4 linked regions of the Mytilus edulis genome follow. Each later gene encodes a partner of the first gene's protein in a complex. Links are inferred from orthologs where the notes say so. Each region holds a gene or a part of one and is shown in the gene's direction. Other genes may lie near its edges. The genes, in order: centrosomal protein of 290 kDa-like, transmembrane protein 231-like, B9 domain-containing protein 1-like and tectonic-like complex member MKS1.

Evidence for each region.
Region 2: centrosomal protein of 290 kDa-like (region 1) and transmembrane protein 231-like share a complex: the UniProt entries of both Homo sapiens proteins name them as parts of the tectonic-like complex. The link is inferred for Mytilus edulis from reciprocal best matches to the Homo sapiens genes CEP290 and TMEM231.
Region 3: centrosomal protein of 290 kDa-like (region 1) and B9 domain-containing protein 1-like share a complex: the UniProt entries of both Homo sapiens proteins name them as parts of the tectonic-like complex. The link is inferred for Mytilus edulis from reciprocal best matches to the Homo sapiens genes CEP290 and B9D1.
Region 4: centrosomal protein of 290 kDa-like (region 1) and tectonic-like complex member MKS1 share a complex: the UniProt entries of both Homo sapiens proteins name them as parts of the tectonic-like complex. The link is inferred for Mytilus edulis from reciprocal best matches to the Homo sapiens genes CEP290 and MKS1.

What each region holds. Positions count from the first base shown.
Region 1 is NC_092353.1:4,363,340-4,370,320, reverse strand, and holds the start of centrosomal protein of 290 kDa-like, read left to right. Parts: upstream 1-3,969; 5' UTR 3,970-4,151; intron 4,152-6,981. Other genes in the region: uncharacterized protein, read right to left, coding at 458-553. UniProt on the Homo sapiens protein: Involved in early and late steps in cilia formation. Its association with CCP110 is required for inhibition of primary cilia formation by CCP110.
Region 2 is NC_092348.1:50,345,126-50,352,352, forward strand, and holds the start of transmembrane protein 231-like, read left to right. Parts: upstream 1-4,215; 5' UTR 4,216-4,237; coding exon 4,238-4,376; intron 4,377-7,227. UniProt on the Homo sapiens protein: Transmembrane component of the tectonic-like complex, a complex localized at the transition zone of primary cilia and acting as a barrier that prevents diffusion of transmembrane proteins between the cilia and plasma membranes.
Region 3 is NC_092352.1:63,763,106-63,770,504, forward strand, and holds the start of B9 domain-containing protein 1-like, read left to right. Parts: upstream 1-4,386; 5' UTR 4,387-4,486; coding exon 4,487-4,543; intron 4,544-7,399. UniProt on the Homo sapiens protein: Component of the tectonic-like complex, a complex localized at the transition zone of primary cilia and acting as a barrier that prevents diffusion of transmembrane proteins between the cilia and plasma membranes.
Region 4 is NC_092349.1:45,661,454-45,668,621, forward strand, and holds the start of tectonic-like complex member MKS1, read left to right. Parts: upstream 1-4,165; 5' UTR 4,166-4,208; coding exon 4,209-4,285; intron 4,286-7,168. UniProt on the Homo sapiens protein: Component of the tectonic-like complex, a complex localized at the transition zone of primary cilia and acting as a barrier that prevents diffusion of transmembrane proteins between the cilia and plasma membranes.

The sequences.
Region 1 (6,981 bases):
AACACATGTAAGTTCTTCAACATATTTTTAGGTTTTGGTATTCAAATATATTGGCCTGTCTTGCTCCACAATAGATACATTGTAGAAATGTGCATCCGTCCCAATAAAATTGGTACCTTTAAATGTGATTACCCAGATCTTTCTTTAAATATTGTTGTTTCCTCATTATTGAAATCTAAACCTCATAGATTTTTGAGGTGCTGAAATTTGATTGTTCCCCATCTATTAGACTATTTTGATACTCTTGATATCTTAATCACTCAGTTTTCAGCTTCTTCCTAATAGTTCTTATATCAAGTTTATACTAAAAAAGATATACTTGAAGTGATATTGATCTAGAACATATTGTTATAATGGTCTAACTGTTTTAACACTGTAAGTTTGAACCCATCTTTATAGAACATGATAGAACCAAACCTCTTAGCTTATCACAGTAAATGTTATATAACATTTTTACTTTTATTATAAGAGGTTGTTCTTTGGTCAGTTTTGTTTCTGTTAACAAACTCTTGGTCAGCAATAACAACAGCACAAGCAGGAATTCAAACTCCATTTTCCTGCAACAATACAAATATGTAAAATATAAATAAGTGACTCAATGTGGCTTGTGTAGGTTCATATTATGTCAGGTGTGAGTAAAATGTGTAGAATGTTGAGATATAAAGTATAAACACATAAATTAGAATACATAAAGCCTAGAACAAACTGCCAGATAGAAATTAACAAAACACCCTCTATAAAATTATATATAATGCCTTTCAAAATTGTCAAGTTCAATATTGGTCTAATGAAGAGATAAATTATAAGAGCAGAAATATCTGGGAGTCACAGACAAAACTGTAAGCAAAATAATTCAAATCAGAGTCTGGTGAAGAGAACCTGTCACCAAGAGCCAATGCACGTCGAGTTTAAGGGGGACTATCGAACATGCACAGCCCAAGGCACAGTGGGTCAGTCTTTCGCAAGACTTAAGCAATAGCAGGCAAAACTATAAAGCAAGCAGCAAGTTGTAACAATTTTATATAGTAACTGGTCCAAATAATAATAATGATGCCGAAACAATTTACGAATAAATAAAGTTCAAATGTTCCAAATAATAAAGTCACTAATTTCACTAATCCAATTCACAGTTTAAAGTTAAAGTCCAAAATGTTCCAAATATATAAAGTTGATGTTGTCTGGTTGAACGATTACAGTTGTTTTGAGCTGTCTTTTGAGTTAGCGTTTCTCCTGAGTAGCTGAGCCTGGTTGGCTTTGGAAGCACTCCTATCTGAATAACACCGACGAGACTACACTGACGAACAACTGTTCGACTCCGATATTTAAGGCGAATCCTGAAAACTACTCATAAAATGACAGACATTGATAATTTTGATAATTGAGATAATTTGAGTATTAATAATATTGTTTACAATGTCCAAAGGTGAAATATGAATAATGTCAATTAGAGAGATACAAGTTCATTACATTTATAATCCTAATTAAAACATAATATAGCTCAGATTAATTAATGACAATTGACAAGATACCAAAGTGTTGCTCAGAGCAATTATTTACAAGTGACATGTTTCACAAAATTTACCTGATTAATTAAATTCAAATTTGTAATAAAATATTTCATAATTTCATATTTTCTAAAATAATATATTTTCTCAATAAAATTCATTTTAAAAACTTTTACCTAAAAGAACACCTATGACAGATCATTAGGGATTCTATACTAGAAAATCATACTGTCTAACAATTATGTGTGAACACCTCCCCTAGTCCTAGCTTACAGTCATTATTGCTAATAACAAATACAATATTTGTTTATTTTCGGAATGTAAAACATTAAAGACCCATTGTTGGCCTTCGGCTGTTGTCTGCTCTATGGTCGGGTTGTTGTCGCTTTGACATATTCCCAATTTCCTTTCTCAATTTTATTTTATATGCATAAATTTTAATTCAAATGTGTGAGAAAGGAGATGCTGTCCAAGTTTTCTACATTTTCGCAGCGAGAACAAAGTTTTCTACATTTTCGTAGCAAGAAATAATACATGATATATTTTCCTAAAATGTACAAACTAGTGATTTAGCATACAATCTATAATTTACTAATTTACGCTTGAAAGCATGCACCTTTATTTTACAGATGTTTCTTTTTCAGAAAATCCACAATATTTCAACCATGGGGAAGGCAAAGTTATTTATAAAACAACAATTATCGTAAAAATAAATTTAGCTGTTTGCTTTCAATAAAAGCAGGATACAGGATATATATGTGTATACTATTTTGTATCTATAAAGTAAACTGCAGATACAAGTCCTCCTTCAAGCAACTGAAGAAAAAAAAACCACACATTTGCTTCAGCTGACAAGGCACGGTTAGGTTTAGATTAATAAAGTCATGAACACTTGCTTTCTGACTGCTTGGTTTTATATAAGTTGAAATAAGTGATAAACCAAGCAGTCGGAAAGCAAGTGTCTATGACTTTCTTAATCTTATTTACACCTAACCCTGCTTTGTCAGCTTAAGCAAATGTGTGGGTGTTTTTTCAGTTGCTTAAATGAGGACTTGAAATATTTCGTCCAGCATGTACTTTTATGGTTTGTATAAAAAACTGTTAACGTGATAATACAATTACGTTTCATACGTCTATACTTTCATCGCACTTAAGAGTATGGAGCATCGGCCTTTAGTGCAGCCACAATCACCCTTTAGCGGGACCATCATACTTTAGCGCCCCCATCACACTTTAAGATAAAGGATACTACAGATACAGTTAAGTCAGCTTCATATCTTGACTTACATCTAGAAATTGACAATGAGGGTCGGTTGAAAACAAAACTTTACGACAAAAGAGATGATTTCAGCTTTCCAATTGTGAACTTTCCATTTCTAAGTAGCAACATTCCAGCAGCACCTGCATACAGGGTATATATCTCCCAATTGATACGATATTCCCGTGCTTGCATTTCCTATCATGATTTTCTTGATAGAGGGTTACTGCTCACAAGGAAGCTATTAAAACAAGAGTTCCAAATAGTGAAGTTGAAATCATCCCTTCGTAAATTTTACGGACGCCATCACGAGTTGGTTGACCGTTATGGAATAACCGTTTCACAAATGATATCGGATACGTTCCTTACGTCGTAACTACAATTCCCTTCCCTTTCATGAATATGACCTACCGAATTAGACTATTTACCAGATTTGTAATCACATAAGCAACACGACGGGTGCCATATGTGGAGCAGGATCTGCTTACCCTTCCGGAGCACCTGAGATCACCCCTAGTTTTTGGTGGGGTTCGTGTTGTTTATTCTTTAGTTTTCTATGTTGTGTCATGTGTACTATTGTTTTTCTGTTTGTCTTTTTCATTTTTAGCCATGGCGTTGTCAGTTTGTTTTAGATTTATGAGTTTGACTGTCCCTTTGGTATCTTTCGTCCCTCTTTTAAGAGTCCTACAAACATTATTGTAGCTATTTGATTGGTTATTTTGTGGATTAAATCATTATGAAATCAAAAAAGGGTTGGTTTAAGTTAGGCTACTATTTTCAGTTTCAGCAAAACAGAAAGAGGACCAATCTAAGAAATTAGTTAGCCATCACTAACAGGCAACTACAATCTACTTGCTAAGTAGAGGGTAACTTTCTGCGTCTTTTCTACATTCATACAATGAACTCTGTTTTACACTATGATTTTTGTGACTAAGCTTAAAAAGGTTAGATAGTTAAGCTTATTTTAGCATTTTTTAAAACTCGTGCCATTACTCACTCAAATCAAACATTTTTTTCCAAAACGAATTAAATAGCTCATATTAAAATTGATTAAACATAAACGTTGTTAGTACTCAATGAAGTGATAAAATTCTATTCTATCATATTTGACAATTTATGGTAAGATAAAGAATATAAAAAAAATCAATATAGTTTGACAACTTTCTAAATTCGTTTTGTTATTTTGCAAATTGCTCGCGACGAATACTACAGCCTTACCAATTTACTCGACACTAACTATGTTTACATAAAAAATGGCGGACATTCTTCAAACTTCAAAATGTCATAGTTAAAAGTTGCCTAGCGAGTTTCAAGTGTAGCTGATTCCATAATACTGGACGCAATTAAAACCTTTTTAAAGTTTTCTTAAACTGAACACTAAACAAAAGGTATTTGCATCACACAGAATGATGTGTAAATTGGTTTTGTAACAGCAGCAAGATCAAACTTGTTTATTTTAATAATGACGTGATTTACTTTACATTGTTTACTACTGTTGAATACATCTTTATGGTCAATTGAAATAAAACCACATGTACCTTCAGTAAACTGAACACTCCCATAAAAGTACAGTTACCCTTTAAAGACAAAAAAACCTAATAAATTTCCACTTATAAAAGTTATACAGTGGAGTCCACGGTGTCTGTACGGCCCGTAATATCGAGCATTAGCTGATTATGTCACCAGGGATCTCCATGGCTTGTTTAACGATGGTGCCCCACCATTGTTCAAATGTCTTCTGCCATCGTTCAAAACTTCATCGTTTTTTGTAGCCCAACGCCATTTTTTTTATCAATTAAAATCAAATGCATGTAATTGCATAACCCTTAGGCTTTTTATGTTATAATCCAATACAGTTCTAACGCCTCAGGGATATCCGGATTAAGATCGCTAATCACTTGTACCTGAGCTTGTACAGGTAGATCAACAAACCAGACAGGAGAATACTATCTGAGGATAGACGATCCATTTGTCGAATTAATCAACTCAGTTTCAGCAAATGATTATAATAATTTAGAGTAAATAAATAAATAATCCAGTTACAAAGAAAACAGTTTAACAAGTCGAACACATGCTTTATTTTGACTTACGCAATCAGCATCCCCCTTTTTTAAGAAGTACAAAATAAGACGCAAAACAGTAAATATTATTTCATCGCAAATAACTTGAGTACTGCTGTAACGATAATTAAGAATTACTTTAAAAGTTTAAAAGTAAAAACTTAAATTTTTACTGTAAAGAAATATCGTATCGTAATTCCGAATTCATTTCGTATATTACAATCAAATTGATACATTCGTGTTTCCGGTTTCTATTCAGACTCTAAAGATGCATGTTGCACAGCATCAATTTGTCAGATAAAGTCATTAAAAACCTTTTCATTTGTCAACGTTTGCTTTACAAATCTCTTTAACCTTTTACATAACCCGTACGAATCGTTTGTTGTTGCTTCAAATCAGCCATACTGGTAATGGGTTCTTAATTTGAGAGTGTCCATGAAAAATAAGCTCCACATCATATGATTTTAACCCCCATAACAATTACCAAAAATACAAGAAATCTACATGGGGACCTTCATAACAGCTTTTGTCATTCTCAACTAAGAAGGGACCATGAAGACTTGGCATTTAAATGGTTAAAAACGACAATAAATGAAAATATTGATACTTCTAATTCTATAATGAAAATTCAAATAAATATAATTTAAACAAGCAATGAATTAGCATGTTCACCATTCCTTGTATGGAGGGATAAAATACTTCCGATTGCGCTACACTGTACAGCGTAGACACGGTTTGTAATGGTGAAAGTTCCTCCATCATTCAATTTTCATCCATGGAGATCCCTGTACACAAATTAAAATCGTTCTTGTAATTGTTTTAGCCTTTCGAAGGGATGAAAAAGAATAAAATTGATAAGTTCAAGTTAATTAATAAAGTTCTGCAATCCCGTGATTTGCTATATTTGACCAATTTCCATTAAAAAAAACATCATCAGATAAAATTTGTTTTATTTAAGTCATTAAGTCAAACTAATGTCAGATTGAAATAATCTTTGCTCTGCATCCTTGGCAGTGTATTTGGTTCAAACTCAGCTATATTTCGTAGTATAAAATCTTTCCTTTATTTAAAATAAGCTATTTTTGGAAGGCATGCACGAAATCACCGGTTATTGGAGAAACTCTCAGTGCAGGGGTTTCCCTAATTTTGGACACACATTACACAAAATCGACAGGATTAAACTATACAAACAAAGATTTTATGAAATAAAAGAATGTTATGAATTTGTTCACACAATATTATCCAATTATTGGTTTGATCAGTTGAATGAAGTAAAGTCATAAGTCTTAAGTGCGCGGATACATTTGGCCCAGCTGCATTGTACATGTAACTGTTATAAGGGAGTCTGATCCCGGATCCTGCTTATTGTTTAATGAGAATCCTGCTTCTCGTTGCCATATTAGCACATGTTATTTCCCATGTCACGACAGACCGTGTGCTCCTTCTTTGGAGGATTATAAACAGTTTAAGTAGAGGATGTAAATATGATCAACAATCAAAAAATGAGGGCAGTCAATGCCAAATCTGAATTTGCTATTTATTTCATGGAAAACAAGTTATGGTTTTCAACTTTCTGTCATAACGTTTTCTCCATGAAACTAAGTACTGTAAACATTGCAAATTGTGCCCAAGTTGTCATATGCACATTTCTTCACAGATAATTGCTGACTGACCGATTCTATTTGAATGAATTAATGTTGATGATCATTAATGTCCTATCCGATAAACGGATTACCTCTAATCTTCTAATTCTATAATGAAAATTCAAATAAATATAATTTAAACAAGCAATGAATTAGCATGTTCACCATTCCTTGTATGGAGGGATAAAATACTTCCGATTGCGCTACACTGTACAGCGTAGACACGGTTTGTAATGGTGAAAGTTCCTCCATCATTCAATTTTCATCCATGGAGATCCCTGTACACAAATTAAAATCGTTCTTGTAATTGTTTTAGCCTTTCGAAGGGATGAAAAAGAATAAAATTGATAAGTTCAAGTTAATTAATAAAGTTCTGCAATCCCGTGATTTGCTATATTTGACCAATTTCCATTAAAAAAAACATCATCAGATAAAATTTGTTTTATTTAAGTCATTAAGTCAAACTAATGTCAGATTGAAATAATCTTTGCTCTGCATCCTTGGCAGTGTATTTG
Region 2 (7,227 bases), on another chromosome or scaffold:
AAAAAACTTCAAAAGATTAAATTTAAATTATAATCTAAACATAAAAGAGCACATATAAATCAACCTTTTACTCAGATTTATATCTAAAACCAGTTATAACTAGCTATTATATCTTTGACTTCACAAATATCATCATCTAATTTTACAAATCAGTATTTATTTGGTGGCACTTCCTGCACACTAAGTATGTTATGCCTTAGGTTTAATTTTGATGCAATCACATTTCAGAAGGTACATGTCTTGTACTGTTTTAATGAATAAATTACAGTTTTAAACTCAGTTTAGGCTGACCTGAGGTCAATAGTCTTAAACAATGTCATCAAACTATCAGTTTTACTGTAATATATTGATATTGTGACATTTATGGGAAAGAGCGTATGAGTTAGTCAAATTGGTCAATACAATGGAAAGTTTATAGCTGAGACTACTATAACACTATGTGTTATACTAGTAGTCTCAGTTTATAACTATGTTAATGTTAATTATATACATGACATAATAATCAAATCATTTAAAAAATTATTCCAAAGATTTCTCTCAAATCATGTTTATATTTTTTTAGAGAAGAGTCTGTCTGAAATATATTCAGGGGTAGTCCAAATAATTATGACTTCTTAAAAAGCTATATTATGGGGAAAAAGGGGGGGGGGGGGGTCTATTATGTTTTTTTTCATACAGGAGGAAGACGTCAAAGCAACAAAAAAAACCAACAAAACAAAAGAAAATAATAGCCTGTCAAGACGTCCTTATATCATAATAATTTGGTCTAATTTTGGGATAATACATTTAACTTCCTTTGATGTCGGGGAGGGGATAAGTTTTGACGATTAATTATTCTTGAAACTAACAATAATTATTTCTTATTGTTACTTTGTTAAGCGAGCGCGATGTGTGGTTCTCGAGTTATTTAAAAAAAAGGGGGGGGGGTTGTTACTATATCAAATTTACCCAGTTTGGAGACAATAAATATTTAAAATCTAACCATAAACTCCAATGTTCCTGCTTTTTTTAGCAGAACAAACACGATGGCACTCGTCTCTGTTATAATCAATAGTTAACTCATTTCTTCTTCCAGGTTATTTCTTAATCAATTATGATTATCAGCTGTCTATCTATTTACCATGTTTATGTTAAACTGGTCCGTAATTCCATCGTAGTGTATCGATAAGTGAACACAACAGTGATCCAGTTTATTAAACGTCTGTAAACCGAGGTATATAATATACAAGGTTCCTGAGTCAGTAACCGTAACTATCCCCGTGCTTTGTACGCATGCGCAAGAAACACCAACAACAAGGATAAAACAGGGTACACAGTTCCGTAATTTCGTATATTTTTCTTATCTTCATACTAAAGAGCTCCAAAAGTAGGCGTGCTTAGGTGCACTGGGCGGGTCTAAAAACCGACTCTCGGTGGTTAACGTCTCTCGATGGTTAACTTTAAGTGCCTACCGACAAAAACTAAATTCCTTCATGGTTATATCTTGCCATACGTTTATATTGGTTTGAAAGGTGATTACTCAAAATCGTTATTTGAAAATCCTGTTTGTGAGATGTATATTCATTTCAATACAGAAATTTCGTCTATATATTTCACAAGTGTATAACACGGAGAAGCTCTGAAGGTCCATTACTCCCCTTTTGTTTGGGTGTGAACCATCGATGTTGACAGCAATATCAAAGAATAAGATGATGATGGTAGAAAGAACTATGGGCGTCATGTGGCAAATATTACATGCATATCGGACAATGAGTTGTCAATCTGTATGAAAAGATTTCCAATACAACCATATTATTGAGAAGGAATGTTTACATGCTATACTCTCGTACTAGTATTACAGGGTTCTTGTGGCGTTCACCTTAGACACACATCTTTTTAACGATGTTTAAAAAAAAGACAGAACCAATTTAATGTCATATTTCCCTATTTTTTTTTAAATATAACTAAAAGTCTTTCATCTGACAAGATTACCCCTATTTAGCGGACAAGTTATTTATTCTTTTTTCTGTTATTGAATACCAAGAAAAAAAATAAATCCCGAAATTAATTTGAAACTTTGATACTCAAAAGTTTCCCAGCAAAATATTCACATCTCTTCGGGATAATTAGTGTTCGTCCAGTGGCATATATAACAATTTTGATGACGAATTCCTTCCTTTGTTCGAGAACAATCTTATTGAAATATAAATCTGTGATTTTACTATGTCCACAACTTCAATGAACCAAAGCAAAAGTTATACATCGACCTGTATTTAAATCAAATTGGTTCTCTTCTTCTTCTGGTATACAATAGTCTATCGACATTCGATGATTACATACTGTTGGCATACGTGGACTAGTCTATTTACAACACTTTTACCCCTATTTATTCAAAATATATGTTTTTTTCTTATGTTCAATGTATACATGTATATATTTTAAATTGCGCTATAGTTCCGTAACTTTCTATCCAGTCGTATAAACGAATCGTCGGCAAGTGCGTACATTTTTTTAAATCAATATTTCTGGTATGTTCCAATCTGTCCTTCACTTTTGACAATGAGTATATATTACATTTTCCCAAATTCACCCTTGGAAAAATATTTAAATAGATTTTAATTTCATCAAATCTTATTTTTTGGGTATTATTTATATTTTTATGAATAATATTCTTTACACCAGAAATGTTATTTATAAACAAGCGTATGAGTTTGGTAATGACAAGTAAGACAGAGTTGTATATTATACATCTGATAGTTCAAAATGGAAAATTAAATGTTATCAGCCGTGTACACTGATCAATACCTGCAGAAGTGAAACGATGCGTGAACTTGCAAGCCCGACAGGAAATCGCTTAAATACCTGGACGTGTCACCTCACACCCCTCACAATACCTTTGGAAGTAATACCTTTAGCCATGCTGGTGATCAGAAGAGGGAAGATCAAAATTTATTTGAAAACAGTTTATTACTTTAAAGAATTATGAACAAATTAGATTTTCGAAAACAATTTTCACGGAACACTTTTTATTTATGATTTCAACTTTGACTTGTCACCTAATTCCAAGTTTTAAAAACAACAGACCATGGTTAGTTAGTCGGATAAAACAACCGTACGATTGACAAGATATCGACACGCAATTACGACTACATCGGTTACTGTAGTTTTGTTTCTTTGTGGTTTATAGACATATCGTTTCATTAATCGGGAAAGAAGGACAAAATGGCGGAACGCAGATAATTAATACTCTAAATTTAAAATCGATGGTGATCGCTTATCTAGCGGAATAAAACTTTAATATCTATGAATTTGAGCATTTTTATACAGAATGAACATAATATCAATTTTTGATTTTTTTGCGAAGTTTCATTTTGGCATGATAGTGTTTCTACAAAATTCCGCTTGTGTTTATCTGTCGCCGAGAAATAAAAAAATCAGGTGTGTCTATCCAAAGAATAGAAATATAAACACATATTTTTTAGAGTAAATGTCTAAAATTTCGACCCCTTAGTTTATCTCTTGAAGTTGTACATTGAGGTATACATATTTTTTTATTACAAATCTGAATTGCTAAGGTGAAAAATAGCTTGTATGGGATCGAAACTGTATCGTATGCCCTTAAAGCCCTCTTTTGTTTTACTTGCCGTTCAATATTATATTGTTTGTTTCACAATAAGTAAATGTTTTTGGCTTTGGTTGTTCTTTTCGGTCTTCATGACGGAGTAAGACGAGTAACAAAGTTGTTGTCGGCTGGTAGAGTCGACACCAGACCCTCAACCACCTTGTCATATACCTTGTCATGTATATCAGGATCAGACGGAGGCTGTGTCTTCTTTACTTTCTTCTATCAGTTAGCGTTCGTCAATTTCTAGCTGACGTCTCATGATGTTGGTTATGGAATCGATCCTGTTTCTGGTCTCTTGTAGTTCCTTATGATGAATCGTATGCCTTTAAAAAATAAGCTGCTTCTCGACTGACTACTAAACTAGACTTTGTTCAAGTGTAGCGTAAATTACAAGCGGATTCCAGTTTATCTGAAAAATAGGTTCACGTACTGCTTTACTTTTATTCACCCTGAGCTAAGTGGCGAAAGGGTCGATAAAAACAATTTATAAATAAAAATTCATCAATTTACTCATGATGCAAAAAATACCAGTAATCAATCATGATTATACACAGAAAATAATGCACATATTTTTTTTTATTAATAATTCATTTATGTTATATCTTATTCACGTCGTTCCTGCTTTGTTTGAAAATGGCGGTGTACGAAGTATTTTCTCATCCAGAACTTCGACGTTACAAAACCCATATCTGTTCAAAGGCATCTATAATTCTAGTTGTGGTGTTGTTTGTTACAGTAATCCCTCCACTTTTCGTTGTTTATAGGAGTTATGGTAAGTGCGATGTAAATTTTTTTTTAAAAACCAAGATTTTTCACCAGTCATATCAAGTTGAAGCACGTTGACAAAACAAATTTATACAGATTCATGTATATATTTGTAAATAAAAAAAAAATGTTGACCAGCTTTCCGTATTGAGAGCGGAAATGGCATCGGTGATAATTAGAAAACTGATGAAACAACAATTTTTTATTGATAATATAAAGAAATTCAGACATAAGGCCACACCAATTTAATTGCAGTGGAGTCCCCGGTGTCCGTGCGGCCCGTGTTATCGCGCATTAGCTGATTTCGTCATATCAACACAGTTACACATACAAAATCGTTCTTGTTAATGTTTTAGCCTTCCGAAGGGATAAAAAAGAATAAAATTGATAAGTTCAAGAATTAATTAATAACTAAAATCCTGTGATTTACCATATTTGGCCAATTTCCATTAAAAAAATTACATCATCAGATAAAATTGGTTTTATTTAATTCAAATTAATATTAGATTGAAATAATTTTTGCTCTGCATCCTTGGAAGTGTGTTTGGTACAAACTCAGCTATATTTCGTAGTGTAAAATCTTTCCTTTATTCCAAATAAGCTATTTTTGGAAGGCATGCGCGAAATCACCGGACATTGGAGGAACTCTCAGAACAGGGGTTTCCCTAATTTTGGACACACATTACACAAAATCTAGAGGATGAAACCATACAAACAGAAGATTTTATGAAATAAAAGTATATTATGAATGTGTTCACACAAAATTATCCAATTATTGGTTTTATCAGTTGAATGAAGTGAAGTCATAAGTCTTATGTGCGCGGATACACCGGACTGCACCGTGCTTGTTCTACAGATTTTTGGACTCCAAAATTTGGGGCGAGCGAGCGATTTGAAAATTTTAATGAAAAAATATTTAATTTGCAAATTTTTGAGGCGAAGCTTGAAAAGTAAAGGCGAGCGATTATAATTTTTTTTTGTAAACATAAAATAGTAGGTTTTGACAACATTAAAACTTGATTTATCACTTGTACTCTGACATTTCTTTAATTTCAGAAGTGTTTTTTTCCTTGTTTACCAAGAAATAATTAAATGTGGTCTATGTATGTAATAATAAATAATAAATAAGCTTTATTTAGAGTCGGCAAGGTATACAAACATACATGTAGACAAAATGTGTGACTGAAATGAGACAATTCTCCATCCAAGTCATAATCAGTTTGGGGGAAACCCCTTAATGTTATAAATATCCCTTTTACATGTTTTATGAGGGATCAATATAAGTTATTATATATTTGTTTGTACAAAAAGGCTCATATTTTCTCAAAGAACTATATATCTATCTGGTATTAAATGGTAAAAACATGTCCAGGAATTTTGTAATATTCCTGGACTTTAACCATGTTAAATTAACACATTTACTTTATTACAGTTTAATATTATTCAAAATAAGTGGACCCCTCTTTTAGAAAAAGTACAAAATTGTAAGTTTTCAAAGGTTTTGTATAGAAGAACTATACATATCCTTGGTATTTCTTTTCTTCATCAGTAAAACAGTAAAATGACCCCTTGTCTGAGGGAGGATTGTTCTCAACCTGATAATAACAAACACAGGTCAAAGTACGGCCTTTTTAACAGGGCTTTGATACAGACCAAACAGAGCTATAAAGGACCCCAAAATTATTAGCGTACACAATTCGAACAGGAAAGCCAACGATCTAATTTATCAAAAAGGGAAAATACCAATGAACACCATCAACAAACATGAAACGATAACTGCTGAACGACAGGCCCCTGAATCAATCAGGACAGGTGCATAAACATGCTGCGGCTATGGATAGTTTTGTTTCGCCAGCATACAATATAATTGCAGTTGAAGACAAATCCTTCAGAAGTTCTTCATACTTTATTCTAACAATGAACATTTTTTGATATGGAATATAAGTAAGGGGGAAAGAAACCAATTTTTTGTACTTTACAGATATTTCTGCTGTTAATTTATCAATTTATATCGGAGCTGAAACAAATATTCTCACAGATATTTACACAGTGAGGTGGGGTGCTTTTATGTTTAAAATCGTTATATACAGGTTAGACTGTGATTTTAAAAACAAATGTTGATATCTTTTTATAATATTTACAACAAAAACAGTGCGGGAAATGGACATGATTGCATTTCCAGATGCGGGAAGCGGGAATATAAAAGAAATAAAAAAATTCTGTTTTGAAAAAAATAGGTGCGGGCGGGTCTGTCGAACAAGGAATCAAATTGGTGTGGCCTAAAAGATTCATTTTCTAAGAAAAAAGGTTGAGGTATTGTCCTTTACAGTGTGTAGCAGATTATTTAATAAAAAGACAACTTTGTTATCCCTTCATGCTCCTCTGGTACTTGTGACCTACATGTACAATGAATTAGAGAACTTACATCATTCTAACTATCGGCAGCAAAATAAGTGTGTTACTTCATTTAAACGTGATAAAAGTTGCCTCCAGTAGATATTTACCGGTAATCCATTTATTGCTTTAAAAAAGTTTTATTCCTTTCCAAATAGCTCGTCAAACATCTTTTATTTTTGTAAATTTTCTTTCATTCATCCGTTATTGACCGTTTACTAACTACGGTCAATGTTACTTCATTTAATCATGATAAAAGTTGCCTCCAGTAAATATTTAATCCATTTATTGCATTAAAAAAGTCATATTCTTTCCAAATAGCTTGTCAAATATCCTTTATTTTTGTAAATTTTCTTTCATTCGTCCGCCATTGACCGTTTACTTACTACGGATCGGAACCAGACCAGCTATGACCAAAATCCGTGCTTTTACAATAATAACTACAGACGCATGCAGTGTTCCAG
Region 3 (7,399 bases), on another chromosome or scaffold:
ATCCCTTGTATCATAAATTTTAGTATTCAGCTTTCCATTAGTGATATAGATATCAAGATCGAGAAAAGGGCAGTGGTCATTGTTAGTAATAAGCCAATCTTTTCCCCATTGTATGGCTGCTTCTAGGTCTTCCTGCAGCTTAAGACAGTTTTTTAAAGTTTTAATTTGTCAATAGATTATATTGTCATCTGCGAAGAGTCTGATTTTGCTATGTTGGATGTAATCTGGGAGGTCATTTATGTTTATTAAGAAAAGTATTGGTCCTAGCACTGTACCCTGTGGGACACCTGATGAGGTATTTTTGAAGATGACATGTTTTCTAAAAGTACTGTTTGGGTTCTGTTTGAAAGAAAGTATTCAACCCAGTTAATGATTTGATCTAATATTCTAAAGTATTTCATTTTGTATAGTAATCTTTTGTCAGTGGTACCTTGTCGAAAGCTTTAGCAACATCCATGATTATGAGATCTGTTTGTATGTTCTTGTCATTGTTTTGGAATAGTTCATGAATCAGTGAGATAACTTGGGTCTCACATGATCGTTTTGCCCTAAATCGGATCCATGTTGTAATTCATACAGAGTGTTGTTTGTTTTTAGATGATTCATCCAAATGCTGCTTGCAAAGATATGTTCGAGTAATTTGCAAACTATGCATGTTAAGGATATAGGCCTATAGTTGCTTGGGTTGTATAATATTTATCCCTTTTTTTAAATACACTGTTAAGTTTTACATTTAGTTAGGAAAGTTTTTAATTTATTTTAGGTCCCGCGCGCTAGGTTGTGGCGTCACGTGAAGAGGCTTTATAATAGTGAAAATTTAGTTTATTTCTTTCTGTTTACATCTGTTAGGTGGAGACCGACAACATGTATATAACGAGGGAATACACACGATGTATTTCTTTTGTCATTGTAGGAAATTGACGTTTCGATCACAGTTCACGAGCAGTGCATGCTTTGGATTTAATTTATCCTGTGTAACTTTAAAACACGATTATTGATTATTTTCTTACAATATACATTTCTCAAAAGCAGCTTGTAACACAGATTTTATTATAATACAGGAGCAGACATTTTATTGTAGGATTTCATTGAGATTAACGGACCAACAAGCGATTTTTACGGCATTGCAATTTCTCAGTTTTCTCTACGGAAATTCTTGCCGGGGATCGAGGTAGCTGCAACATGTTGTTTTGTGAAGTTTTAATACATGTATGCCGTTTTACAATATAAATCAATTGCTTTAAAAAAAAAAAACAATTGTAAACGGTCTCCCCCCCCTTTTTTTACCTAAGAAACATGATTGATTGATTAATGTGTGTTTCTTTCTTTCTTTCTTTCTTTCTGCAAGGGGTTCATATTATTGTGTTATCCATGCCAAGAAATCCTAGCTAAAAATTTCGGTGGACCTCCTACGGCACCCATTAGTAGATACAGATTTAATTTCATTCAACAAATTAATTTATGACCTTTATGTACTCGCTAAGAACACGGCCATATACCAAATGGTCAATATTAATCATCCATGTAATTTGCTCTATGGGATATTTGCAGAATTTCAACGGTGTCAATTTCTTGGCATGGGTGTGACAGTTTCATGGTTCCAGTCAGATGGTACTTTGCCTGTTTGTAGTGAATCTGATCTTGTAAATATTAAAGTGAGGATATCTACATATTCCGATGTTTTGTTTAAGTACTTTGACTGCGATGGTATCAGGACCGGTAGCTTTAGTCGGGTTTATGTTTTTAATTAGTTTTAATTTTATACTGCACTCGTTCTATTTGAGCAGTCAAAATGCGTTGACTGTATATTTCTATGCCATATACGGTCACTGACCTGATATCACTTTTCCTCATGAATATTTAAAAATAGAAATTGTCGAAATTGTATTTAATTATTCATACGACCTCTTCAACCTGTTCTTGTTTCCAATGTAAACAACGATGCGTTTAACGAATCAAACTTGTTTCTTTTGCAATTTTTGGGAAAACATATTTCACTTATTAATATTTTTTTGTTTGGAACCTATAAATCATTATGTTTTATGTTTATTGATGATATTTTAGTCTGCAACGAATTCGTTCATCATTGATTGCGGTAATGATCGATGTACATTTCATCGTGTTTTTATATTTCTCCATCTGTGTGATATGAGGCCTTTTTAAAGGGGGATTTTTCCCAATATTTAAATCAAATAAATAACATTAACACAATAAACAACAATTGAAAATGTTTTTTTTAGATTGCAGTATAAAGACAATAATGGTGCATTGACTTGACATATCAACGATATATAAGGATTCGGCCCAAAACGGGGAAAATGCTCGGCAGAGCCTCGCATTTCCCCGTTTCTAAGCCTCATCCTTATATCATTGATATGTCAAGTCAATGCACTATTATTGTCTATGTAAACACCATCCCTAGATATTTTAATGGGTATCATTATGGGGTATTTACTAGGACTTTTGTCTGGAATGTTACTTAGTGTTTGCTTCAGATGTAAATGCAGACTGAAACTGTTTTCGTATTTCTGGCTTTTGATGTAAGAGTACAGTTTTTAAGGTGTATTTTTGAAGCATGGTTGATATGGCTCCTTTATTTCAATATCGAAAATCATATTTTCTATGTATTGCCAGTATGAGTTTCTCATTTCTTTCTGGAGCTTGGTTTTAATTTTTTGGTATTGTTTTTTTTTTATAAGTTGTGATTTTTCTTTTTCTTTTTATATAGTTTCTTTTTCTTTTAAATGAGCTTTTTAAGTTGGTTATTTACCGGCCAAGGTAGTTTTGATTTGTTACCAATGCTTTTTGTTAGAATATGCTTGGTAATAGATTTTTGGATGTTTTTTTTTTTAACGTGTTCCATACCGAGTGGTTCCAAAGTTCATCGAGATTTTAATTAATTATCTTGATCTTGTTTTAGTTGTTTGTATGTTTCAGTGAGATCTTTTTCTATTTGCTCCCAATTTGCCTTTTAATTTGTAGTGTAGTACTTTATGAGCCTGTTGCTTATTTTGCGGCAGAGTTAAGTTTATTTCTATGTAAACAATGTCATGATCACTTGCTCCGATTGGTGGTAATGTTTCGATTCTATTAACAAATGATGGATTGGTCATACACAAAAGGTCTAGGGCTGTGTCGTTTCTGGTGTTCTTGTTTAGGACCTGTGCTCGGGGGGGCCACTTCAAACTTTTTTTGGTAGGGGTGAGCAGCTGAGACATCAAGTACCCCACCCTTTTCATATATTTTGTTAATCAAAAATATATACCTTGTCATATATATTAATTAACAAAAAACAGACCTATAGATATATTTCAATATTTTCCAATATTTTCCCCGCTCATCATCTTGTAAATAGTCGCAATAATATCACCTTCTTTTCCAAAAAATTCGTCACATCTTAAACACTTTTTTCTTATTGCCGTTTTACATCTTTCATTATAAAGATATTTCAATTCCAAATTACAATACATATAAAAGACGTTTGGTCAGATCATAGATGGTATTACATCTGTGGTCAGATAAATGTAATATCACCCCAGAGCATGCAGAGTGTAACACCTTCACTGATTTTAACATGCTAAAATATTAATTTAAAACTGATAAAAAGTTTCATTGCCTTTCCCTCTTAAAGGACGCTGTCACAATGGAATTTATTTAAATAATTGTTATCATGTTTTATGTATACAAACCCTTGAATGTTAATTAGGTGCAAATGTCAAAATAGTTGGATTTATTGCATCTATCACTGGCATCAGTGGAAATACCACATCAGAATAAATAGATTTTAATTGGTTTGACAAATAACTGATGCATTTACGACTGTGGTTTAACCGCATCAAAAATAAATACGGACATCTGATTAGTTTCAGATACTTATGATATAATCAAGCAAGTGATAATATCAACCTATTGATATATTTCATCTGAATTTCTCACCCTTTTCATATATCGTAGAGCATGAAAAAGTGACCTATTCCAGCGGCTCATCCCTACCACTAATTATATAGCAAGTGGCCCCCCCGAGGACCTGTGTTATTAAAGTGTTATTAAAGTTGTTGTCATTCAATATCTAAACTCTAGTTAGAATAATTGAATAATTTATTTTGAACATTTTAAAAATGTTCAAAATAAATTATATTTTACATGCAAGAATTATCAGTTTATAAATTAGATTAGGAAAGACACCTTATGGCAAAAAGAAAAACCCTGGGTTGAAATGTAAACATGATATCAAAATAATATTGTATTAGTTATACAACTTTTATCATACTAGATGTATATTCTAATTTCTTCCAGTTGGCCGATTTTGTTTAAAGCTCGATTTTGTAATAGTCCGAGTTTTTAATGGGCCGAGAATGCCGGATATCAACCGCTCGGAATACCTTGATACCCGCTCGGAATACCTTTTGTAGTATCGTACAGTATTATTTTGTCTGTCAACATAGAAGTGATCTGCACAAACTGAGACTACACAAACAAAACAAAAATGACAGCAAATTCAGTATTTCTTGTAATGGTTGGTGGACAAATTGAGTCCGGAGAGGTAAAATTTGGAAGAAAACCATTATAATCTTCTAAACACTTTCCATAAAACCTGAAAAAAATAAAACAAATTCTCAAAACAAGCCTGTTCATGTTAAGAAAAAGTCAGCATATCAAACAAAACATTATAGGAGAAATCTGTGGTTTAATTGAAGCATACATTTGTATTAAAACCGATAATCTGTACAGTACCTGACCAAAAGTATTTGTCACAGGCATTTTGTTTGCTATATATTTAAAAGAAAACACATTTAAAAAAAAATATTTATAGGGCATTTATCAGGTCAGGAATAACCACCAATTGGTGGATTATACCTCAATTGACGTATAATCCACCAATTGGTGGTTATAGGAATAACCTGTTTATGATTGGATTTTGATCAACAAGGCCTTAAAAGACGTAGAATATTGTCTAAAGAATGTTTGTTTATTTGGTTATACTTTTATCTTCAGCGTTCAGGTGTTTTTGTTTTCTCTCGATGTGAACACAAACAATATTTTTTTGTAATTTAATTTGGTTGAATATAGCGAATTTCTGAACAAAAAAATATTTGTGTTTATCTTGTGAAAAAATGAAAATGATCCTCAAAAAAAATATAACCAAATAAACAAATAAATCTGTAACAATTCTGCTTCTATTGGTTATTATTTACAAGTTATTTTAGTTCTTTCAAAGTTTCATATCTTTGATTTTACTGCCATGCCAGAGTGCCAGCAAAAATAGTTTAATAATAATTTAACATGTTAGCCTTGGGTCTGTTCACTCTGAGTTCGTTCGCCCATAGAGTCCATAGGCGGATCCTGCCCCCCCCCCCTTTTTCATGCGAAAAATTTGGTTGATTATATAGGGAATCATTGAAGCATGACTGGGGCATACCCCCCTTAGGTCAGTCAGCGGGCCCCCCTTAGGAAAAGTTCTGGATCCGCCACTGGAGTCTGTTCACCCTACTAAAAAAATATTAATATTCAGGGCATTGAAGTTGAATAAACTTTTATTCAAATATTTCTATGGTATATATTTTCTTGAAATTTATGGAAACATGGAAATATTTAAAAGTTTATGGCTTGTTTAGGATCATTAATTGTTCAATGACAAAATAATTCAGATCACTGATTATTGTGATACTTGTCTTTTGATGGATTAATAATAAAAACAAACGTTTTGTTTTGATAAAATATTCAGCTTGTAATTAATAATTTTAAGCCATAATGTCATGAATGTACGAGCTGTAACATTGTAAATGATGAAACAGATTTACAAGTTCTTTTATTTATACTCTGAGACTAGTCTCAGTTATGCTGTATACATTCATGATTGACCATGTTGACTGAATACAATTATTTTGTTAACAAATATCAATAAAGATAAATACATTGTATTCCAGTATTCTACTCTGCAAATCAAAGGGAAAATGATAAATTGATTGCGGCAATACAAATATTCTGTCAATTTTTCAACAAACTTCAACATATTTTGTTCAAATACTTTAAATTATGTGACTAGACAACAATTAGAAAAACATAAAAATCAGTGCGAATGAACCCTGTGCGAACAGGTATCAGGGCAAAAGGGTATCAGGGCGAACAGGTACATGTACTAGGGCGAATGGACCTGGATTCTAATCAGATGGCAATATCAAAAGTTCAAACACATCAAAAGAATGAATATAATATATTCCATTGATTGATTGCCTAGATATCTATCAGAGCTAGTACTCAAGTTCATTGTATCTCTCAGTAAAGCCAATAAGTATTCAATAAATAAACTGTAATTTTTCACTGAGTAGCTATAGACATACCTACACATGTATTATAGTATAAATATAAACCTATATAAGTACGACGGCTTGGTGAAAAATTGTGCACATCCTGCTACAAGCATGAAATTTGGCATAGACCTTCCTCATCTATTACTCTTTTATTTCAGATAGAGAGGCAATTGAAAAAAATATCGCACTTCTGGTAAAATCTAAAATGGCGGACTTCATACTTAAATCAGCCCAATATCGAAGGCTAGTATGTGAAAAGGTGTTTTAATCATGCTACTATCATAATATTTGGTACAAACCTTTGTTTTTTACTACTTTTAGATACATTATATAGATTAGATGTCTTGAAAAACCCTACTTACGGTAATATCTAATATGGCGGACATTGTACTTAAATAAGCTTATTTTTTAGGGAGTTGAATATTTAAATAATGAATTGATATTTCTATGTCCGCCATTTTGAATATTACTGGAAGTAGGGGGTTTTAAAGACAGATTTTTTATACATTGTATCCATTAGAAGCACCAAAGAAAGGTTCCTGCATAATGTAATGATAGTAGCAATACGTTTAAACACATTTCAATTACCCTCCCTAAAAAATAAGCTTATTTTAGTACAATGTCCGCCATGTTGGAATTTACTGGAAGTAGGATTTTTGCAGACATCTAAACAATATAATATATCCAAAAAGTAGTACAAAACAAAGATTTGTAATATTATGATTGTAGCATGATAATAACACCTTTTCAAATACTAGCCTTTGATATTGGGCTGATTTAGTTTAAACATATTTATTTATAGTGGATTGGGAAACAAGTTTTGCAACTTATATTAATCCCTTTCCACTTTGCGGGTGCGAGTGCTGCCTTGTAGCGGCATTAGCCTGCTCTTTTTCGAAATCTACAAGGGTGTCTTTAACGTGCAAGAGATTGGGCTGATTTAAGTATGAAGTCTGCCATTTTGGATTTTACCAGAAGTGAGACAATTTTTTTCAAATGCCTCCCTATCTGAAATAAAAGAGTAATAGTTGAGGAAGGTCTATGCCAAATTTCATGCTTGTAGCAGAATGTGCACAATTCGTCTGAAA
Region 4 (7,168 bases), on another chromosome or scaffold:
AATTATAGTGCATTATTGTTCAAGTAAATAAAAGAACGAGTTAATAAAGCTAGGATACGATATTGGAAGGTATATACACGAAAAAGAATGAATTATACAACATGCGATGAAATATTACATATTTAAGAAACAATCCGAACACCGTTTATAAATAGCTTCGCCGAGAGCGCATGAACTTCCACTCTTATTCTGAATATTGAAATTGTTGTTATTGAATTAAATGGGACATTTTTTTTTTTGGTCAAAAATTTATTTGATATAACAATTATAGTGCATTATTGTTCAAGTAAATAAAAGAACGAGTTAATAAAGCTAGGATACGATATTGGATTAAATGGGACATTTTTTTTTTGGTCAAAAATTTATTTGATATAACAATTATAGTGCATTATTGTTCAAGTAAATAAAAGAACGAGTTAATAAAGCTAGGATACGATATTGGAAGGTATAAATCACGAAAAAGAATGAATTATACAACATGCGATGAAATATTACATATTCAAGAAACAATCCGAACACCGTTTATAAATAGCTTCGCCGAGAGCGCATGAACTTCCACTCTTATTCTGAATATTGAAATTGTTGTTATTGAATTAAATGGGACATACATTCAATGGTATCTGCTTTAATTGTGGCTTTTATGGTCATCATTGTAAAGACTGTCACACACTTTAGGATAAATCTGATGTATTTCAATTTGTAGACAAATTATCAAATCATAGTAAATCATTACTACTTCATAACAATTTCGATATACTTCTCAATTTATGTCCAAATTGTAATACATCAAAATGTATATGTACTCAAAAATGTATGTCTGTAGCTAAAAATTTTGAAAACAAAAGTTCAGAGAAAATTGTCATAAATCAAAAAATGGTATATGTGCTAATAGCCTCAGCTCAAAACCTAATTATAATAGAAACAAACATTATCAAAAAAACTGTCTTAATCTAAAATGTAAAGGTTTCAATGCTGTATGCCTTAATGTTCGACATATTCTATCTAAATTTGACGAGTTAAAAAATATGATTACTATAAACAACAAATATTTAGATGTATTTGGATTAGTTGAAACATTCTTAAAACCTGACATTAACAATGAACAATGTAAAGTGCCGGGATACAAAATTTTCAGAAAAGATCGCCAGTGTAAGGATGGTGGTGGCCTATTGGTTTACGTCAAAGATTCTATTGCAGTTAAAAATAGATCTGATTTATCAATTAATACATTAGAAACTTTATGGTTAGAGGTAGAATTTCCAAAATCTAAACCTTTCTTTATTTGTACTATTTATAGACCACCAAATTCCCCTCAGTCCTGGATAGATCTTTTTGAGGAAGAATTTAATGCAGTTCTTTCAGAAAACAAAGAGATAATTTTAATGGGGGACTTTAATATTGACTTGATAAAAATTGAGAATAAAAAATGGATCAATTTCATAAACAATTTTAATCTTCAACAACAAATTTGCACTGCAACACGTATTTGTGACAAATCTGAAACTCTAATTGATCATATTTACACTACTAATCCTGAAAATATTGTCCATTGTCATGTTCCGTCATATGCTTTAAGTGACCACTATCCTGTATGCTTAAATAGAAAAATCAATATAAAGATAAAAAAAGAAAGTCATATCGAAATAAAGTATAGGTGTTTCAAAAAATTTAATGAAGATGCCTTTTGTACAGACTTACATCAAACCCCTTTTGATATTGTTGAAATGGAAGATGATATTGATATTGCTGTCGACAAATGGTATGAACTTTTTAATCAAGTTATTAACAAACATGCACCAATGAAAACTAAAAGAGTAAAAACATTTAAACAAGCCAAATGGTTTAATGAAGAAATTAAAAATTCCATTCAATATAGGAATATGTATCATTCAAAAAAAGATTGGGTAAACTTTAAAAAGTGGCGTAATAAAACAACGTCGTTAATATTTAATGCAAAAAAGGAATATTACCAAAACGCCATAACTAGTTCCAAAAATAGTAAAGAACTTTGGAATCATATTAAAGAGTTAAATCCAAAAGAAGATAATATTTTCCCACCTAAAATGCAGTATGAAAATCAAACGGTTTATAACAACCAAGATATTGTAAATACTCTTAATGTTCATTTTTCATCCGTAGCTGAAAAACTTATTGGAAATAATACTTCAGATATGGATTTTTCTATGCTACAAAATTTTACTAGTGAAAAATTAAAGAAAACTGAAAATTTTCATTTAAAACTCATTTCCGTTGGAGAGGTGTGTTCTCAACTAAAACATCTTAATATTAATAAATCCGCAGGTTTAGATGGAATTGGTCCCAAATTTTTAAAGCTAAGTGCATAAATAATATCCCCATCATTAACTTTTTTAATAAACAAAAGTATAACTTCAAATCGTTTTCCGCAAAAATTAAAACTTGCAAGAGTAACTGCTATACATAAAGGAGGACCAAGAGATATTCCCTCAAACTATCGTCCAATTTCTATTTTGAATACCATATCTAAAATTTTCGAAAGACATGTATGTACACAGTTATATGAATTCCTAAACAATAATAAATTGTTACATATCGCCCAGTCAGGTTTCAGACAAGGTCATTCCTGCCAAACAGCGCTAACTAAACTAATTGACGAATGGTTAAAATATTTAGATAATGGAGAAATAGTTGGTACAGTGTTTTTAGATTTCAGTAAGGCTTTTGACCTTATTAACCATGCCATACTTTTAGAAAAGTTAAAATTTTATCATATCGGAAAACATATAATAGATTGGATAAAATCATATTTGTCTGACAGACAACAAGAAGTCCAATACGCTAACATTAAATCTGATAAATCGTTTGTAAAGTATGGAGTGCCTCAAGGTTCTATTTTAGGTCCGCTGTTATTTTTAATATATATAAATGATTTACCACTTCATGTTAAACAATCCAATATGGATTTATATGCTGATGATTCAACATTGCATTTTCATGATAAAAACATTGAAAAAATAAACAGCATATTGCAAAATGATTTAAATGCTATACAATCTTGGTGTAACAATAACAGTATGAAAATCAATGCACAAAAAACTAAGTGTATGAAATTGGGTTCAAAACCAAAACTTAAACAACTATCAGAATTATGCATTACCGTCAACGAAACATGTATTGAGAATGTCCATTCTTTCAAATTACTTGGAATTGACATTGATGAAAATTTAAGCTGGGAAGATCATGTTGATCGTGTATGTAAAATAATCTCTTCTAAAGTATCACTTTTATATAAAATTAAAGTATATTTGCCAATACACACAAGGCAACTATTTTATAATGCATATATTCTACCATATATAGACTATTGTAGTTCAGTTTGGGGAAATTTATCATTTTACACAAAGATTCAGATAGAATCATAAAACTTCAAAAAAGAGTAGCAAGAATTATACTGGAATGCGATATTTCTATTCCATCTAAATTCATGTTTTCTTCTTTAAAATGGCTATCTTTTACCAAAAGAATAAAATACCAACAATCAATTTTAATGTATAAAATTGTAAATGGGCTAACACCTGATTACTTAGCAATTCTAAATATTGATGATGTGCAACGCCACAACCTACGATCTGTCTCTAATAATGATCTTTTTGTTCCAAGGCCAAATACAAATTTTTATAAAAAATCTTTTCATTACTCTGCAACCAAAGTATGGAATAATTTACCACTCGAAATAAAAAAATGTCCTAATGTGGAATTATTCAAGAAACATAGTTATAATCATTTTCTTGAAAATTATATGCAAGTCAAATAATTTGTTTTTCTCTAACAAAACTATATCAAATATTGTCATTTATTACTCTTTGTATATTTTAGTGATTGAATTGTTGTATATACTAGTAATATATATTGTAATTTAATGTATCAATGTTAACTGTATGCATGTATTTTGTTTGAGGGCCTCAATGAAAATTAGAATTTTTCTAATTGAGTTACCCTCTTTAAATAAAGAATTTATTATTATTATTATTATTATTATTATTAAGGTACGATTTTGACATACTGTCGCCCCGAATCGTCGTCTCTTGTATAAACCGGAATTTCATAACAATACCAGACTTGTTTAAAATTTACATAATATAGTAAACAAATCAATAAAGCGTTTGATAACAGGGGAACTTTCATTCTTTTATTAAGAAACTATACAACATCGCAAATAGTTTACGGTCATGGCGGACTTGTACGAACCTGATTTTGGAGCTGCTTATTATAGATCAAAAGACCCTGTTAAGAATCTCAAATTCAAGTAAATAATTTTGCAATTGTATCAGAAAAACACAATGCTCAAATGAAACTAAAAAATTACGTTCTGCTAAAAGATCTGATGTCAAAATAACGTCAAAAATGACAAATTTTGAATTCATGAAAAACTAAGATTATTTCCAACTTGAACCAAGTATATTCCCTTAAAATTTATTGTGATTTACAATTTCTTTTAATTTAACTGTTTAACATCAAATAACATGCATAAGGTACTGTTATATGAGGCAGCCCTGTGAAAGGGTATGGGGTCTGCAAACCTTAAGAAATACATTATGATACCCATTATCAGAAGATTAATAATGATGATAAACATTTCTTGTAAGTAAATTCCAAGCATCATTCCTGCTTGAAAGTAACTGAATTACTGAAATGTACATGTATCTCATGTCAGTCAAATTTTTTGGAATTTTATATGTTCAATGTAAACAAGAAATTTTATCTATATGACAGGTAGTGTATTTTTCTCTCGTTTTAATCTCCTATAGTATACTTGGCGATTACAATACCAGGGCTTTCCATTGAAATTGAAGTAGAAGGCTCAATGAAAATTATAGGCTGCTGTAACATGCGTTCGGCGAAGCCGGACGCCCACCAAGCTGTAAGCTTGGTGCCTTACAAGTTACAGCAGGGAGTCTGGGAGGCCCCCAGACGCTCTGGCATAAATAGAGAAAAATCCTGCATTCTCAAAATCTCCTGGCACCTAATTTCATCTTTCAAATGACCATTTTTTATGTATGAAATTAAAGAAACTCTGAAAGAAAAAAAAATCTCAAAGAAATTTCATTTTTTTTATGTTTTAGTTTTTATTTTCATTACCTTTTGCTTAAAATTCATTTACTTTTAAAGGAGATTTATTTATATAATAATCTGGTTTGTTAAAAATCTTGATTGATTTATTTTGCATAACTACGTGCATTTGTAAACAAATGACCCCCCTATTCTCTCTAAAGACTGTTACGCGTATTTAAATCATACAATTATTTCTCAAGCGTTGACAGAAAATTGATTTATCCTCTGATTTTCTCTTTTTTTGTAAACTGTTCAATAAGTTGGATACATAAATCAGGCCTAAAATAAAATTTCATTTGTTTGGCATTGCCGCCCGACCCACTGAAAAACTTGCCGCCCAAATAACTTTATTTGCGTTTCAGAATTATTTTTTTTTTTATTTAAAAAAAATCGAAATTGTGCCGGCTTTACTTATTTCAAATCACGATCTTAAAAGCGCTTGTCTTACACTGTATTGGGAGCAAACATTTAAATGACATGGAATAGAAAAAGTCTGCCAAAAGTAATGTCAAAGAGGCCGGCAGGGGAAAGCATCTCCCTATGCTGCAATGCATTAGATGGATTTTATCAAAAATCAATTTTTCAGCTATTCTTTGAAAGAAACCTTCTGAGAGACCTTGTAGCGGACTCAAATTTTATCTTTGATTAAGCAGAAACAGATGATTTCTGCTTGACTTTGTCGCTTCATGAGATAGAAGTTTTTCACCGGAACATCACAGAACAAATATGTGTGGCTCTTACATTTGTTAAACTTATTAAATATTTGAAATTTATCATTGACAAATTTTCCCTTGAACCAGAGAACAAAGTATCTACTATAGTCAGAACCACTATGATGCATCTGAGACTACTATAACACATAGTGTTAATAGCTATATATATAGTAGTCTCAGGATGCATTCAAGATAATTATGGCTGTAAGCACCAAAGCTCAAAGACCAAAATGGTCCCAGATTTACAGGTTTATAGTAGTTTTGTACCAGTAGATGCTAGCCTGGTACAAAACATACATATTTTAAAGACTAGCATCTTGTGTCAATTGAAGTACTTCCCCCTTTTCTTGCCTTTCTTCTTAACATGAATAAGATAATTCTTAAAACATAAAAGATACTGACAGAAACATATGTATAAATGTATCTAGTGTACTAGTGATGAATAAAATCCCCTCCTTTTCCACAATTCTAAGGGCTCATTAATTTATCTGTATGCATGTAATGCATGTCCAGATTTCTGTTAATCAAACAAGCATAACAACCCATAATTTATTTATCTGCAAAAATTGTCTGTCCTGCTGCATATTTCCATTTTGAATTTATCATACGTTTTAAACTTAGCCCTGAAAAACCTTGCACTTGGATAATATTAGTATAAACACCAAGTCTATTTGTGCCAACCTTCCAAATTTTTAATATTTTGCTATCCTAATTTGGTACAGATCCTTTATCCTCAAAACTTATCAGGGGCAGTAGGCGTGTTTGTATGGTAGTTCGTCACACCTTACATGTATGATTACTAGCCTCTAGGTATTGGTTGAGCCCTAGTTGGGCAGTTGCAAAATTAAGGTTTGATTTTCATGTCATATGTGATAAGGTTAGTCAGTTTCCTCCTGTAGGTTGGCGTTTTCCTTCAAGTACTACGGTTTAGTACGCCACTAAAACTAACTGCCATGAAATTACCCATATGGTGTAGAAAGTGATGTTTATAAAACCAAAGCAAACAATCAAAGTTTTAAATCTTTGTCCATTTCTACAAGGAGCCGTAGTGGTAGAGCCATTTAACTTATGGTAATTTTACCAAACTGTGACCACAACTTCAAGATGTGACATCAGGCCTCTGTTCAATGGGCAGTCCCACAATTAAGTTCAATTTTCACGTCATACATTTTATATGGTTAATTTGTCAGTTTCCTGTCTCAGTTCTGTGTTTTTTTCTGGGTACTTTGGTTAACTTTGACAATAAAACTGACTGTCTTGCATGAAATTATCCATATGATGTACATTGTAGAATGTGACATTGACAGTTGACCCCTTTCAAAGAAACCACCAACATGTACACACAACAATGCTTTAGACAACAT